3 linked regions of the Drosophila melanogaster genome follow. The protein of the gene in region 1 binds, or shares a complex with, the protein of each later gene. Each region holds a gene or a part of one and is shown on either strand. Other genes may lie near its edges.

Region 1 (3,103 bases):
ACCGCCTTTTGGAAACTCGTTTTGGAAAAAGGCCTGACGAACCAGCAAGCCGAGGCGAAACTCCGTGGCACCTTTTCGGCGGACAAAAATGAGCTGCTCTTCCAGGAATTCGGGATAAATTACAACAATCTGCCGGCAATGTACAGAAAGGGAACGATTCTGCTGAGAAAACGCGTGATATTGGGTGAGAAGAGCAGGCAGGCCGTGGTGCCGCTGCACGAGGATCTGATATCTTCGCAGTTCTGGAAGGAACACACCGAAATATTGGGAAAATATGTGCCAGGCACATACGACGCACCACAAACTTTTCCCCGATTGGTGGAGATGCAAATAAATGGCAAGGATGACAATGAGGCGGAGGAGCCACAAAATCTGGCTGGTACCAGCTGATATAATAACGAATAGTCTTGCATTTTTAAAGATTAAAGTTACGATACATCTAAGGAAGTCGTTTCGGAGATTGAGGATGCGGTGCCCAGGCTGCTGGAGTGAAGGACAAACGGATGATCCGTAATGAAGAGTAGCTAATAGTTGAAAGTTCAACTTATGGCATATATTTTAAGATTAAATCTACACTAAGCTCATAGAAAGACTATTTCCTACTAGTAGTCGTCGTCGTCATCGTCATCGTCATCCTCACTTGGCTTGCTGGCAACGGAGCCGTCTGCCAGCGGTGGTCGCTGCACCATTGCTGCCGCTTGCATGCTCATCCACTGCTGCTGCTCCTCGCGCGCCTGCTCCTCGCGTGCCTTGGCGAACAGCTCCTGCTGCTGGCGCAGCAGCTCCTCCTCCGGAATGCCCAGGTTCTCTAGGCGCGTGCTCTGGCGCCTTCGCTTGGCTGCCACCTCCTTGCAGTCGTGCAGAACGGCCTCCGCCTCTTGTTTGTAGTCGTGAAAACCCAAGCGTTCCAACGCCTCCAGGACGTGCTCTGCGTTTATCGTCTTCTTGTTGCGCATGTTGCACACCTCGTTGGCCTCCGAACTGATCAGATGAATGAACTCTGAGCAGCAGTTGAGTATCAGCTCGCGACTCTCGTTGGCCACCCGCACCGTGGGCACCAGCTCCTTGATGATCTTGTTGATGCTGGCCCGTGGCAGGGTCAGCTCGTCGTCCTCGGCGCTGGGCGGCAGTAGTTCTTCCTGCGGATTCGACATGGCGTCCTGGTTTCAAGGAACAAACAAACAAACAAACTTGGAAGCAGATGTTTTTCTCGGATTTACTAGTATAGTGTGCTAGAGTGGCCGTTTACTGCTAACAGAAAAATGTAATCGAAAAATTATTGTTTTTGTAAATAAATGAAATCATTAATTGATTGAAATGAACTATATAAAGCATATATAGCTAAAAATAAAATATATAAATGATGATATAAAATGATGTATATCATTTATGTATTCAACACAAATTTAATGGCTTAATAATCTTTGATTAATTTGATTTTGATGAATATTATAAATAATACAGCCTTTTTTTAAATGGCAGACTTTTCAAATAAAAGAATAATTTTTTTATAATTCCTACCATTATTTATATAAATAGTTTTTTTTTTTTTATTTGAAAAACCAAATGTACTGTTCTTTTTAAAACTCCACTCTTCGTTTAGTATATTTTTAAGTGTTTAGTATTTTTTTAAGTGTACTTAAGCGGCTAAGCAACGGTCACTTTGAGAAATAGAAAACAAAAAGTTGAGCTGTTTAAATTCCGGCTTATTATTAATATATTACCACAAAATGGGGGACTACGATTCCGATGATGAAAAATCACAGGTGGAGAAGCTGCGCCACGCCAAAGTGCCGCGCGGAATGTTCGTGAGCGGCTGGGACGACGATGCCGACGAACTGATCGAAGAGGACAAGAACCCACAAAGTAAGTAGAATACATTTTAGAGAAATAGTTTAATTAAACATCATCATAGGCAGCATTGAACGCATGATTCTGTGGGCGGTGAACGAGAACCGCATCAGCGAGGTGCGGGAAATCCTAAAACTGGACGCAGACACCGTGAACGCCAAGGATAACGACGGATACACGCCGCTGCACCGAGCTGCCTATAATAACTTTGTGGATATGGCCAAGTTGCTGCTGCAGTACCATGCCAATCCCAACGCCCGCACGGAGCTGGGATGGACGCCATTGCACTCCGCCTGCAAGTGGAACAATGCGGATTGCGCCCATTTGCTGCTGCAGTTTGGCGCCGATGTAAATGCGGAATCGGACGGCAAGCAGACGCCGCTTCACATAACCGCCACTGTGTCCAATTGTCGGAATACGGCCACGGTCCTTCTGCTGGACCGATACATCCAGCCGCGCAAGGAGAACAACTCCGAGGAACTGGCCTCGGTGATTGCCCGTCGTACTGGCATGAGTTTTCCCATTTTCGAGTCCGGCGAGGAAGCCTACGACTGCGAAACGGGACTGATAGATTAATCACTTAATAGTCAAACTATGCGCATACTTATAGAATAACTAATATAATATGTTTATTTCATAAATAATGTTTTCTGTCGATGGAATTGGTAGACACCACGATTTTCAGCTGGCTGGCGCTGGAGCCCTCACGAAATGCTCGTAGAATGACTTAGTGTAGTTGATCATCTCGTCCTGCATGGCGGCGGGCACAAAATACGGATTGCCCTGGCCACCCTCGATGGTTCCCCTCGCCGTGTAACGCATGTAGCTGGACACGGTAGTTTCTGGCGGCAGGACAGCCCCATCCTCAATTACACAGCAGTCTTTCAAAACACAGCGACGGCCCTGAAAGATGGTAAAAGTAAATGGATTACAAGGGTATAACAATAAGTAATAGCTTACTATGATGGCATTCTTGCCGATGTACACATAGGATCCAATGGTGGCCGCCGAGACGACTGCTCCTTCGCCAACGAAAACATGCTCACCGACGTGCATGGGAAAGAAGGCGATTCCCTTGCTGAATTGTTTGTACGGCGGTCGGATGACGGAGTTCTTGCCAATCACACAATATCTTCCCGTCCGGACATTGGCCAGATCGCCGCGAATGATGGCGCCGCTCTGTACGATCACCTTGCCGTTCAAAATAATGTTTTGGGAACCACAGAGCACCGTGTGGCGACTAACTTTGTTA
Region 2 (5,098 bases), on another chromosome or scaffold:
CCAGTTGGGCTAGGTTTTTGCGTATTCGGTCTCGCTCCACTTCCGGTTCGGCAATCCTCCGCGGGCGCAATTCCTCCAGTTCGTGGTCCCACTCTCGTACGACAATCTCATTCGGATGGAAGAAGTGCACGAATCCAACACGAGGGGCTGCATCGCCGTAGGGACCACGGGAGGAGCACCATACGTAGTGGACTCCGGGTGGAATCATCTTGACGCCTCGGAAATCCGGACCAATGGTGTAGGCACAAAGATCAATGCCGAATTCCGTGCCCTCGGGTACACCGGCGATGACCAGCACTCCGCCATCAGCCAGGAGGCGTAGGGCTAGCTGCGGATCCATTTTCATGCTGGAGTTGTCCTTGTTCATTGTGAAATATTGTTCGCTTGCAATTATTAGGAAAAAGAAAACAATTGCAAGTGCGGGCCTTTCAGCAAGTTGCCAGATGTGACGGCTATTTCGATAAGTTCTTTCATGTGAGCAGTCTGGCAACACTAGACAAACAATTCTTTCAAGCGGCAAATTCAATTTATATATACTTTTTTTTAAGTAAATCTTTTGTTTGATATAATTACATTGTATTTAGACTTTGTTGATTTTTGTTACAGTGTATATTCTGCATTTACTTAAAATTCTTGCTGTTCTTCACTTTATTGTGTAAGTGGACCATGACTTTATATCTAAACTATATTTATACGTAGTAGTAATTAGTATTGTAAGCTGCGTTTAGTGCCGATATCGTCGAGTATTTGGCGCAGCTCCTCATCCTCGAAGCGACCCTCTAGTGAAGGAATCAGCGCCTTGGCCTCCTCGGGCGCCTCCGGACACAAATTACCCAGTGCCGCCAGTTCGAATTTGTGCAGCTTTTTCTGCATCAGCAAGCTGAATTTGAAATAATTGAATATTACTACTCGTACGTGCTTTGTTCGGTTTTGCTACATTACCTTCGCGCAGACATTATGGTCTCCTTGTTTTTGAACTTTCGAAAACTATCCGTGTAGGCGTACGTCTTCATGAAGACCTCGGAGAACTCTTGCTCCTCGTCGGCGGATTCGTTTTGTCGCTTTCGGTGATCGAGAAGCATGTGCACCTCCGATATCAGCAGCGTCTCGGCATTTTCGAACTCTGAAACAAAGAGAAACGAAAGGGTTTTTTTTTCTTGAATTAGTTACTTGACGACATTCAGGAAATTTACAAGTGAAACATTGGAGAAAAAATTAGCCCTAGCCATAGGACGGTGGTCTGCTGATATGGCCATGTTCCAGCAGAAAATCGTAGATCTGACGCGTTTTGTTCACGTCAATTTTGATGAGACGTCGCGCATCGGCCAGTCGTAGATATCCGAGCTTTGCTTGCTCCGTAACGAGTTGATTCTTGTAGTCCAAATACGACTGCGGAACCAGACGAGCCACACTGCACAACTTTCGCTCGCCATCATCCAGTTTGGAGTAACCAGGCAGATCTGGGATCAAAGAAAAATTATATTCAGTTGGTGTCAGGCAATGAGTAAAGTGTTTCCCACCTCCAATCTCAATGGGACTGGCCTTTCGACGCGTGTTCATCACATATAACTTTGAGTTAATGGCCAGGGGACCAGGATCACCGCTCCTGTTGCTCTCGTAATGCTGCACCAATTGCTGCCAGTCGAAAGCATCTGTTTGCTTCAGCCTGCTGTAATCTCGCTGAGCCTGCTGACGTTCTTTGCTCAAGCGGGCATATAATTTGGCTCCGGAAAGAGTTCGAACGCCGTGCTCCCGCAGATCGTATAGCTTGTGCAGCTGGCTATGCAGCTCCCGATAATAACGCAGAGACTCCAACAGCATATCGAACTTAATGGGGTCAGGACAGATCTGCATGAAGCCCAAGAAACGCATGCAACTCGCATCGCTGCCAAAGGCGTGCACGTACTTGGAAATCCAGCTGACGGTGCGATTGGGCATTATGAGACCGTGTTGCCTCATTATCTTGTAACGACGCTGGCGCTCTCTGTGAGTAAATATGCATATTAGATTTTTTTTAGTAGCTTTCTGTTATAAGATCATACCTGAGGCGATTGTTGTATGCCCGAACTAGTCCGAGTTGCAATTCCTCTGTCACTTCGCGCTCAAACTCACTCTCAGACGCCTCGTTGTCGTCATCCCTGCCCCTATGATCCACCATAATAGATAGCAGACTCTCTGCTGAGGTGTCGTACGGAGTATCGAAGTCTCCTCTTGCACAGCGGTAACCTGCGCTTAGTCTGAACTGCATGGAGGCGATGTCGTCATGACGTGGTGGATCCAAGCTGCGCATTTTGAAGACATACGGCATTCGCTCGGGCACATAGCTGTCCCTCGCATGCTTCAGATTAAGGAGCCGCTCGAATATCCCGCCAAAGTAGCAATCGTGGTAGTGACGACGCACTTCTGCGGGTTCGTGGCGCTGGTCCAGAGCCTGGGAGACCGCCTCCCAGTTGCCATAGCCGTGGGTGCGAAGTGTTTTCAGCAGTATGCGCTCGTCCCGTGCCGTCCAGTGTGGCTCATCGGCGAAAACCTGTATGTTGTCGCGGACTATGATGTAAGCGTGGTTATTGCGGTGAGAAAAGGCCTCCTTTCCACGTGAGAAACATTGCAGGCAGAGCAGGGTGTCGAGGCACTCGGAGCACTTAATGTACGGCTCTGTGAGACTGCAGCGACATGTGGCACACCGATTGGCATCCTTTGTAGCCGATGGAACACTGCTATTCTGGTCCCGCGTCTTTTCCTCCATCTCCTCCAAGTACCTGTGCAACGTGTGCGGATTATACAAAACCATGGAGTTCCTGGTGTGTTCATTCTGATGTGCATGGATGAACCGCTTAACCTGTGGCCCCAGTGGCTCAACTGCAAAGAGGCAATTCAGTGTGGTAAAAATGTGGAGGAGTGCCACTTTTGGGGCACTCGAAGCCAAAGGTTTCAGCCAGTTTCACTTGTAAGTTGCATTTCGGTTGGTGTAGGGCGTTGGTTACCTTTGGGAAACTGCAGGTCGGCGGCGTCCTCATCCACCATATCCACGGGGTTCATAAAAGACATAGTGAGCTAAGAACTGCTCAGTTTGTTAAAGTTTATATTAAGAAATTCTAATTTGCACAATAAAATGTCGCTGTTTTTAGTGATGAGAAAGGCAGGGCTATAACTGGCGAAGAAGCTATCGATAGGTGGGTCGCATCGTGCGTAGATACGTTGGTCACACTAGCAAGCATGTTGAGTTTATCATTCCGGGTGTTTTGATTTTGTTCGGAATTCTTGGTTTTTTTCCAAGAGAGTTATGTCCCTGGTGCCAGAAGCCTCTACCTCGAGAGCGCCCAAGTACTGCTACTTCTTCAAGACCCTGCTGGTGGAGGAACTGGAGCTGGAAACTTCCTACCACAACCTGCACTACGGTCAGTGCGCATTAATTGGACGTCTGGCGTTCAAGGCGAATCAGTACCGCCTAGAAAACGTGCGCGTTAAGTGTTTGCCAAAGTAAGTTTTTCTATATTACCTATCCATCCGGTCCTTACCAATGATGCTGCATCTTTCAGGAAGTACTCCTTGGGCGAGGGCACCGTATCCTTGCTTATTCTTGGCCTTACCCATGACAAAGTCGTCGAAAATCGCGTGAGTACCGGCCGCTACTGCATTGTGCGTGGTGAAGTGGTGCTACATAATGTGCAGCATCCCAAAGGTGCCAAACTGACCGCCGGCGGTGTCTACGACAAGATCAATAGTCTGTCCAACGATCCGTTGGCCCAAAAACAGTATCTCAGCGCGCTACTTGCCACCTACAGACCGGCCATCGACTTATGGTACATCCAGGTCATCGACAGAGCCGAGGACTTGCTGACTCGCAGGCTGGAGATGAGAAGTCTGATCGAGAAATGAACACACACCACCTGACCACCTCGCGAACCAATCCGCAGTTCTATATATTCAGTCAGCTCTTTGGTAACGATTTCGACTGGAATAATTGCAATTGGGGGGGCATTCAAAACGTTACCTGGAAAGAATTCTGGCAGCGTGAGGGGCATGAGCTGCTCGAGCAAAAGTGGCACAAGCGGTTTCCCGAATACAAAGATCTTATCGAGGTGGTTTCGTCGGAGGAGCAAGGCCTTTGGCAGGAACTGTGGGAGAAGCACGCCAGCGATTACAGTGAAAAGTTCTGGTATATATTTAGCTGTGCCTTTGAGAACTACCAACACGATTTGGCCAAATCATTTGGCCTTGACGTCGCTGAAAACTCAGAAGATGTTGAGGAGGACTTGCAGAACCTAAGCCTTACAAATAAGCCAATAAAATCGAAACAGCAAAGGGTCACAGAGAAAGAGGAGGACGAATCATACTTGACTGCCAACGACGATCCCGAGGATTGTGACGAGGAACAACAGCTGCGCCTTCTCGGATTGCCAACATCATTTGCGTCGAAGGCAGATATAATTAATTATAGAAAGGAAAGAAAGACACAGTACGAACTATCTAGCAGCGATAGCGAGGACGATCATGATCTGTTGACCATGGAGAACAACGAAAACGAGGCTCTGCACGGCGTTCAGAGCGGTTCTGTTAAAAAGAAAAAACGACGGCAAAGGCAAATAAAAAAACTCAAGGCCAGGATGCCAGAGTGCATGCAAGAGGATAACAACAAAATGGTCAAGTACTGGGTCAAGCGATTCTCGCTGTTCTCCCGCTTCGATCAGGGCATTCGGCTGGACCGCGAGAGCTGGTTCTCGGTGACACCCGAGAAGATTGCCAAACAAACGGCCCGACGACTGGCCTGCGACGTGATCGTAGATGCTTTCTGTGGATGCGGCGGCAATGCCATTCAGTTTGCAAACACCTGTGGACGCGTAATTGCTGTGGACATCGATGCCGAGAAGTTGGCCATGGCCAAGCATAATGCCGGCATTTATGGTGTGGCCCATAAGATCGAGTTTATCCACGCCGATTTTCTGCAGTTTGCGGCCAGCACAAAGCTGCGCCCAAATGTGGTTTTCCTGAGCCCTCCGTGGGGTGGTCCTGACTACCAAAAGCAGGCCACCTTTGATATCGAAACAGGTCTCCTGCCCGTGGGTGCTAGCCAACTGATGCAGCTGTCCCGTAGCCT
Region 3 (4,111 bases), on another chromosome or scaffold:
AGCTGCTTTATGGAACTAGCTACAGCATCGCCATTTGCCTGTGCCTCCTTTACAAGCTCGTGAATATCCGGCCAGGATAATTGACTGGCAATAGCTGACTGAACAGCCCGAATTGCATTATCCACCAGACTTTGATTGGACGTTATTAGCTCTGCTTTCTTTCTGTCCACATCTTGGACTTTTGTCAATTCCTCTAGACGCTTTGCGTGGTCATTCTTGACATTAGACAGCTTTTTTAGTGCCTCACGCTCTTGCTGTAGCGTTTTCATGTCAATCTTTTGCGACTCTTGCGTAGAGTAAAATTCATCAACGGCTTCCATAAAGGACTCAAATGTGGCCTTTTCAAAGTTTTTGAATTGAATAAAGAGGTAGGGATGAAATTCGATGTTTCTAAAGAAAAACTCCACCGTTCCATTCTCTGTAGGCTTTTCCTCTTTAACTTGAATAATGTAGCCTTTACTTTTTCCACTATTTCCCTCAGCTATAAGCTCTTGAGCATCCTAAAAGATTGCACAGAACGTTTTATTTACTTTAACAGCAATAATAAATATTTCCACGATATTGTTCTTACCTTTACTGCTTGCTGAAGAATTGGCAAGTCATTAACCATGTCAAATGGTTTCTGTTCCAGTTTCGTATTCTGTTGCTTCTTACGTTGCTTTTTACCGCCCTTCTCCGGCTTGTCCTCCGCCTCCGGCGTTTCTTCCGTTGTTTCCTTTTTGATAACGTGATTGTCCAAGCCGTGTGAGAGGAGAACATGCTCTATAACTGCCGGACCACAGTCCAAGTTGGGTGTTAGAATCTGTCGCAAATAGTCGCCGTTCCTGGCATTTTCCAACAGCTTAACCAAAGCTTCCAGTTCCAGTTCCTTCGTGGGCTGTTTGGCCCGTTCCACGGGATATTTCTCGCGCATGGCGAAGCGCAGGTTCTCGCCCTCCGTATGCGGACGCAAAATATATAACGTGGTCAGCTCGTAGTCGGTGAGGATCACATTACCACGATCGTAGAGCTCCAAAATAACATGGTAGGCGGCATCACCGGTACCGAACTGAAAGTCAACAATACGATCGCTACCCATCTGTTGAACCTTTTCCAGGCGCTTGTTCTTCAAGTGCTTCCTCAACTTCATGCTGAAACCGGACGGAGCCATGTTCTTGGGCCATTCGAACCTAGTGGTATGGAATCTTGTACCAGATTCTATTAGCAGAGTGACCTTCTCCACTGCACCGGTCCCTTGCATCCGGAAGAGGTAGGTCTTGTTATCCACGTCATAGATCTGATTCACTCGCCAGCCGACCAGCCTGGAATATAAATGTAGATGTACCATTATTCCTGGGCATCGGAATTATCCGGATTTTTTACATACTTTTGCAGTTCCGCCACTCCGCAGATTATATCGAAGGTATTGAAACGTGTCTTCATGGTTCTTTATGGAAAGTTGACGATGTCAACACGGAAAGTGAAGAAAAAAGAATCTATCTGGCAACTTAACTTATCATTAAATATTCACAAGTTCGCTATCTACGTTAGATAAGTTAAATTAGTTTAATAGGGAATAATAACAATTTTATTCACTTGCGAAATTAAGTATCGGTGTAAATTGCGATGGACGAACTTTAAACAAAATATATCGATTGTATGCTGTTGATGATTCGGATTGTCAGAATGAATTCGCTGTATAATTACTATGTATTAAATATTTGTATTGTTTATGCAATGAGTAAGAAGCTTCTTTGATTTATCTAAAAAGTTATTAAGCATTTAATAAAGTTTCAGTCAGCTGTTTCCCTTTCCGTGGACTATTCCACTTCGTTCCGATAAGAAATCGATACATAGGTAGTCGGAAAATGGAACTGCTGTGTCATCGCCAATCTTCATTTGTAAATATGAATGCGGATGGACCTGTTGTCAACGTGCACGTGTTGTTCTTTGCTAAATCCCGTGAATTAGCAAACACTCCCCGGTCGACAGTGGAAGTTCCTACTGAAATTACTGCCACCGAACTGCTGGACCACCTGGTGTCCAAATTTGGCCTGACCTCCATCCGGGATAACTTGATTTTGGCCCACAACGAGTCGTACATTGACAACCTGAGTGATAGAATTCTGTTTAAGGAAGGAGACGAACTCGCCATCATACCGCCACTGAGTGGAGGCTAACCTTTCCGCCATGGATCACGTGAAATTGGTAAACGACCCCATAGATATCGCTCATATCCATCAGTTGCTGGCCGATGAAGGCTGTGGAGCCTCATCCGTTTTCGTGGGCACTACGCGCGATAATTTTCAAGGGAAAAAGGTGGCTTCATTATCTCAATCAATTGATTTCATTGATTCATTTGTACTTTTCGACCTTTCAGGTGCTGTCATTGGCGTACGAGGCCTACGATAGCATGGCACTCAAGGAAATGAATAAAATATGCTCAGATCTCCGATCTAAGTGGCTCGATCTGAAGCACATAGTCATATATCATCGATTGGGAACAGTGCCCGTATGCGAAGCCAGTGTAGTTATAGCCGCCTCGTCACCACATCGTTCTGAGGCCTTAGAATCAGTATCTTTTGCAATAGACCAGCTAAAAACTCGGGTTCCCATCTGGAAAAAGGAAATCTACGACGGCGATAACGACAGCGAATGGAAGGAGAACAAGGAGTCCATCAGGCCTAGTAAGATCTTATGAGTAGCCAGCATGACATGTATTCTTATTATTTGTACACTTGTAAATATAATTAACAATCGAGCGTTTACGATTTTATTGGCTTCTCTCTCATCTGTGCATGTACATTGTAGAGAAATCGAAAAGTGGCTTCAACTACGCCGCTTGTCCCTGCAAAGTTGAGGAGTCACATGACGTCCCGCGAACTCTGGTGCAAATTAGAGTTAATGACGCTGAGTTAACCAAGCGTTTAGAATGTTTTGTCAACAGAAAACGAGACGAAATAAACTCACAAAATGTAATTGACTTCAAATCGTCTTTTGTCAGCTCAGACCAAAACTTGAGCGATTCCTGCGCTCGAACGCAGAGCACAATTATTAAGCAGGAGCAGTCAAATTGCCATTTAAAAGGTGGGTAAACGATGCTCTATTTTCATAACTATAGCCACTTTGGTCTACAAACAACCTATCACAGTCCGACGAGTAAACAACCGATGCGGACCTCAGCAAATGGAAATGCGACCCAACTACGAACTCGAACTGAATAAACTAATGGGATCGCGTGACGGTCAAACGGATCCAACCAAAGAAATGAGGAAATCGCTACCCAATTCACGACTACAGGCAATTGAATCGTACATGGGTCTAACCACCGACAACGAGGAAAACATTTTCAGTAGAATCAAACGAGTGGAAAATAGACTGCTGCAACTGGAGTCCATTTCGCCCGAGTACAGACACTTCGTAGGTTCTTAAAACATTTCCTGTAATTGCAGTTCTAAAAAAATTCAATCTATTCTCAGACCAAACGTGAACCGTCATCTATGGAAGCCGCGCCGCCGAAGAAGAGCCGAAAGAAATCGTATTCGGCGCAAGAATTAAGTGCATTCATTCAAAAGATTAAGGATGGCAGCGAATTAAGCTAATAAAAACCTAATTAATTATTATTCCTTGGTTTGTAATTGATGTAAATTTATTTCAACATTCCAACTATTTGTAATAGTTTTTTTTATGCGTAAATGATGAGAGTGAAAAATGCAAAAATTTTTGTTTACAACTAAGGAATATGGATAAGCGTGGCTGATTTGTTTCTGTTTATTAATCGGTCGTCAAGCTTCATAGATCGCGCCCGAAAATCTAATGGTTATTTGTTAACCGAAGGACCAGCTTACTAATTATTTAATACGCGAAATTATTAAATCTTATTGTTGTTCTCAACTCCTAGCACAGAGTGGGGAATTGAGCTTCATCGTCAACCTTCAGTGGCTTCTGGGCGGAGCGGCGTTTCTCTCCGAATCTGTTGTTGTCTTGTCTGTTTTCATAGCCGTTGCTGGGTCCGTTGTTAAAGCGGGGACCACGGAATCCCTCTCCACGCGGTCCGTCATTGCGGTAGCCTTCTCCACGCGGTCCCTCATTGCGTGGACCCTCTCCGCGAGGTCCGTCGTTGCGATAACCA

The links. The genes of interacting proteins can lie anywhere in the genome.
Region 2: NC2beta (region 1) and Ada2a share a complex: the UniProt entries of both Drosophila melanogaster proteins name them as parts of the ada2a-containing (ATAC) complex.
Region 3: NC2beta (region 1) and Mocs2B share a complex: the UniProt entries of both Drosophila melanogaster proteins name them as parts of the ada2a-containing (ATAC) complex.

Annotation. Positions count from the first base shown.
Region 1 is NT_033779.5:15,005,969-15,009,071, reverse strand, and holds NC2beta (negative cofactor 2beta), read right to left. Parts: upstream 1,260-3,103; 5' UTR 1,155-1,259; coding exon 603-1,154; 3' UTR 534-602; downstream 1-533. Other genes in the region: THG (tRNA-histidine guanylyltransferase), read left to right, coding at 1-390; Ankrd49, read left to right, coding at 1,731-1,866, 1,916-2,427; DCTN5-p25 (dynactin 5, p25 subunit), read right to left, coding at 2,533-2,754, 2,812-3,103. UniProt on the Drosophila melanogaster protein: Bifunctional basic transcription factor. Activates transcription of DPE (Downstream Promoter Element) containing promoters while repressing transcription of promoters which contain TATA elements.
Region 2 is NT_033777.3:18,252,333-18,257,430, forward strand, and holds Ada2a (transcriptional adaptor 2a), read right to left. Parts: upstream 3,156-5,098; 5' UTR 3,049-3,155; coding exon 2,985-3,048; intron 2,905-2,984; coding exon 2,043-2,904; intron 1,985-2,042; coding exon 1,222-1,984; 3' UTR 1,124-1,221; coding exon of another isoform or gene 943-1,123; intron 881-942; coding exon of another isoform or gene 706-880; 3' UTR 511-705; downstream 1-510. Other genes in the region: CG12320 (uncharacterized protein), read right to left, coding at 1-367; Polr2D (RNA polymerase II subunit D), read right to left, coding at 706-880, 943-1,123, 2,985-3,048; moi (modigliani), read left to right, coding at 3,284-3,480, 3,540-3,879; Tgs1 (trimethylguanosine synthase 1), read left to right, coding at 3,876-5,098. UniProt on the Drosophila melanogaster protein: Component of the histone acetyltransferase (HAT) complex ATAC; predominantly involved in acetylation of histone H4, including at Lys-6 (H4K5ac) and Lys-13 (H4K12ac).
Region 3 is NT_033777.3:25,125,122-25,129,232, reverse strand, and holds Mocs2B (molybdenum cofactor synthesis 2B), read left to right. Parts: upstream 1-1,873; 5' UTR 1,874-1,886; coding exon of another isoform or gene 1,887-2,159; 5' UTR 2,160-2,169; coding exon 2,170-2,298; intron 2,299-2,359; coding exon 2,360-2,666; intron 2,667-2,790; coding exon 2,791-3,066; intron 3,067-3,130; coding exon 3,131-3,399; intron 3,400-3,458; coding exon 3,459-3,581; 3' UTR 3,582-3,601; downstream 3,602-4,111. Other genes in the region: Clbn (caliban), read right to left, coding at 1-500, 572-1,301, 1,367-1,422; Mocs2A (molybdenum cofactor synthesis 2A), read left to right, coding at 1,887-2,159; vig2, read right to left, coding at 3,877-4,111. UniProt on the Drosophila melanogaster protein: Catalytic subunit of the molybdopterin synthase complex, a complex that catalyzes the conversion of precursor Z into molybdopterin.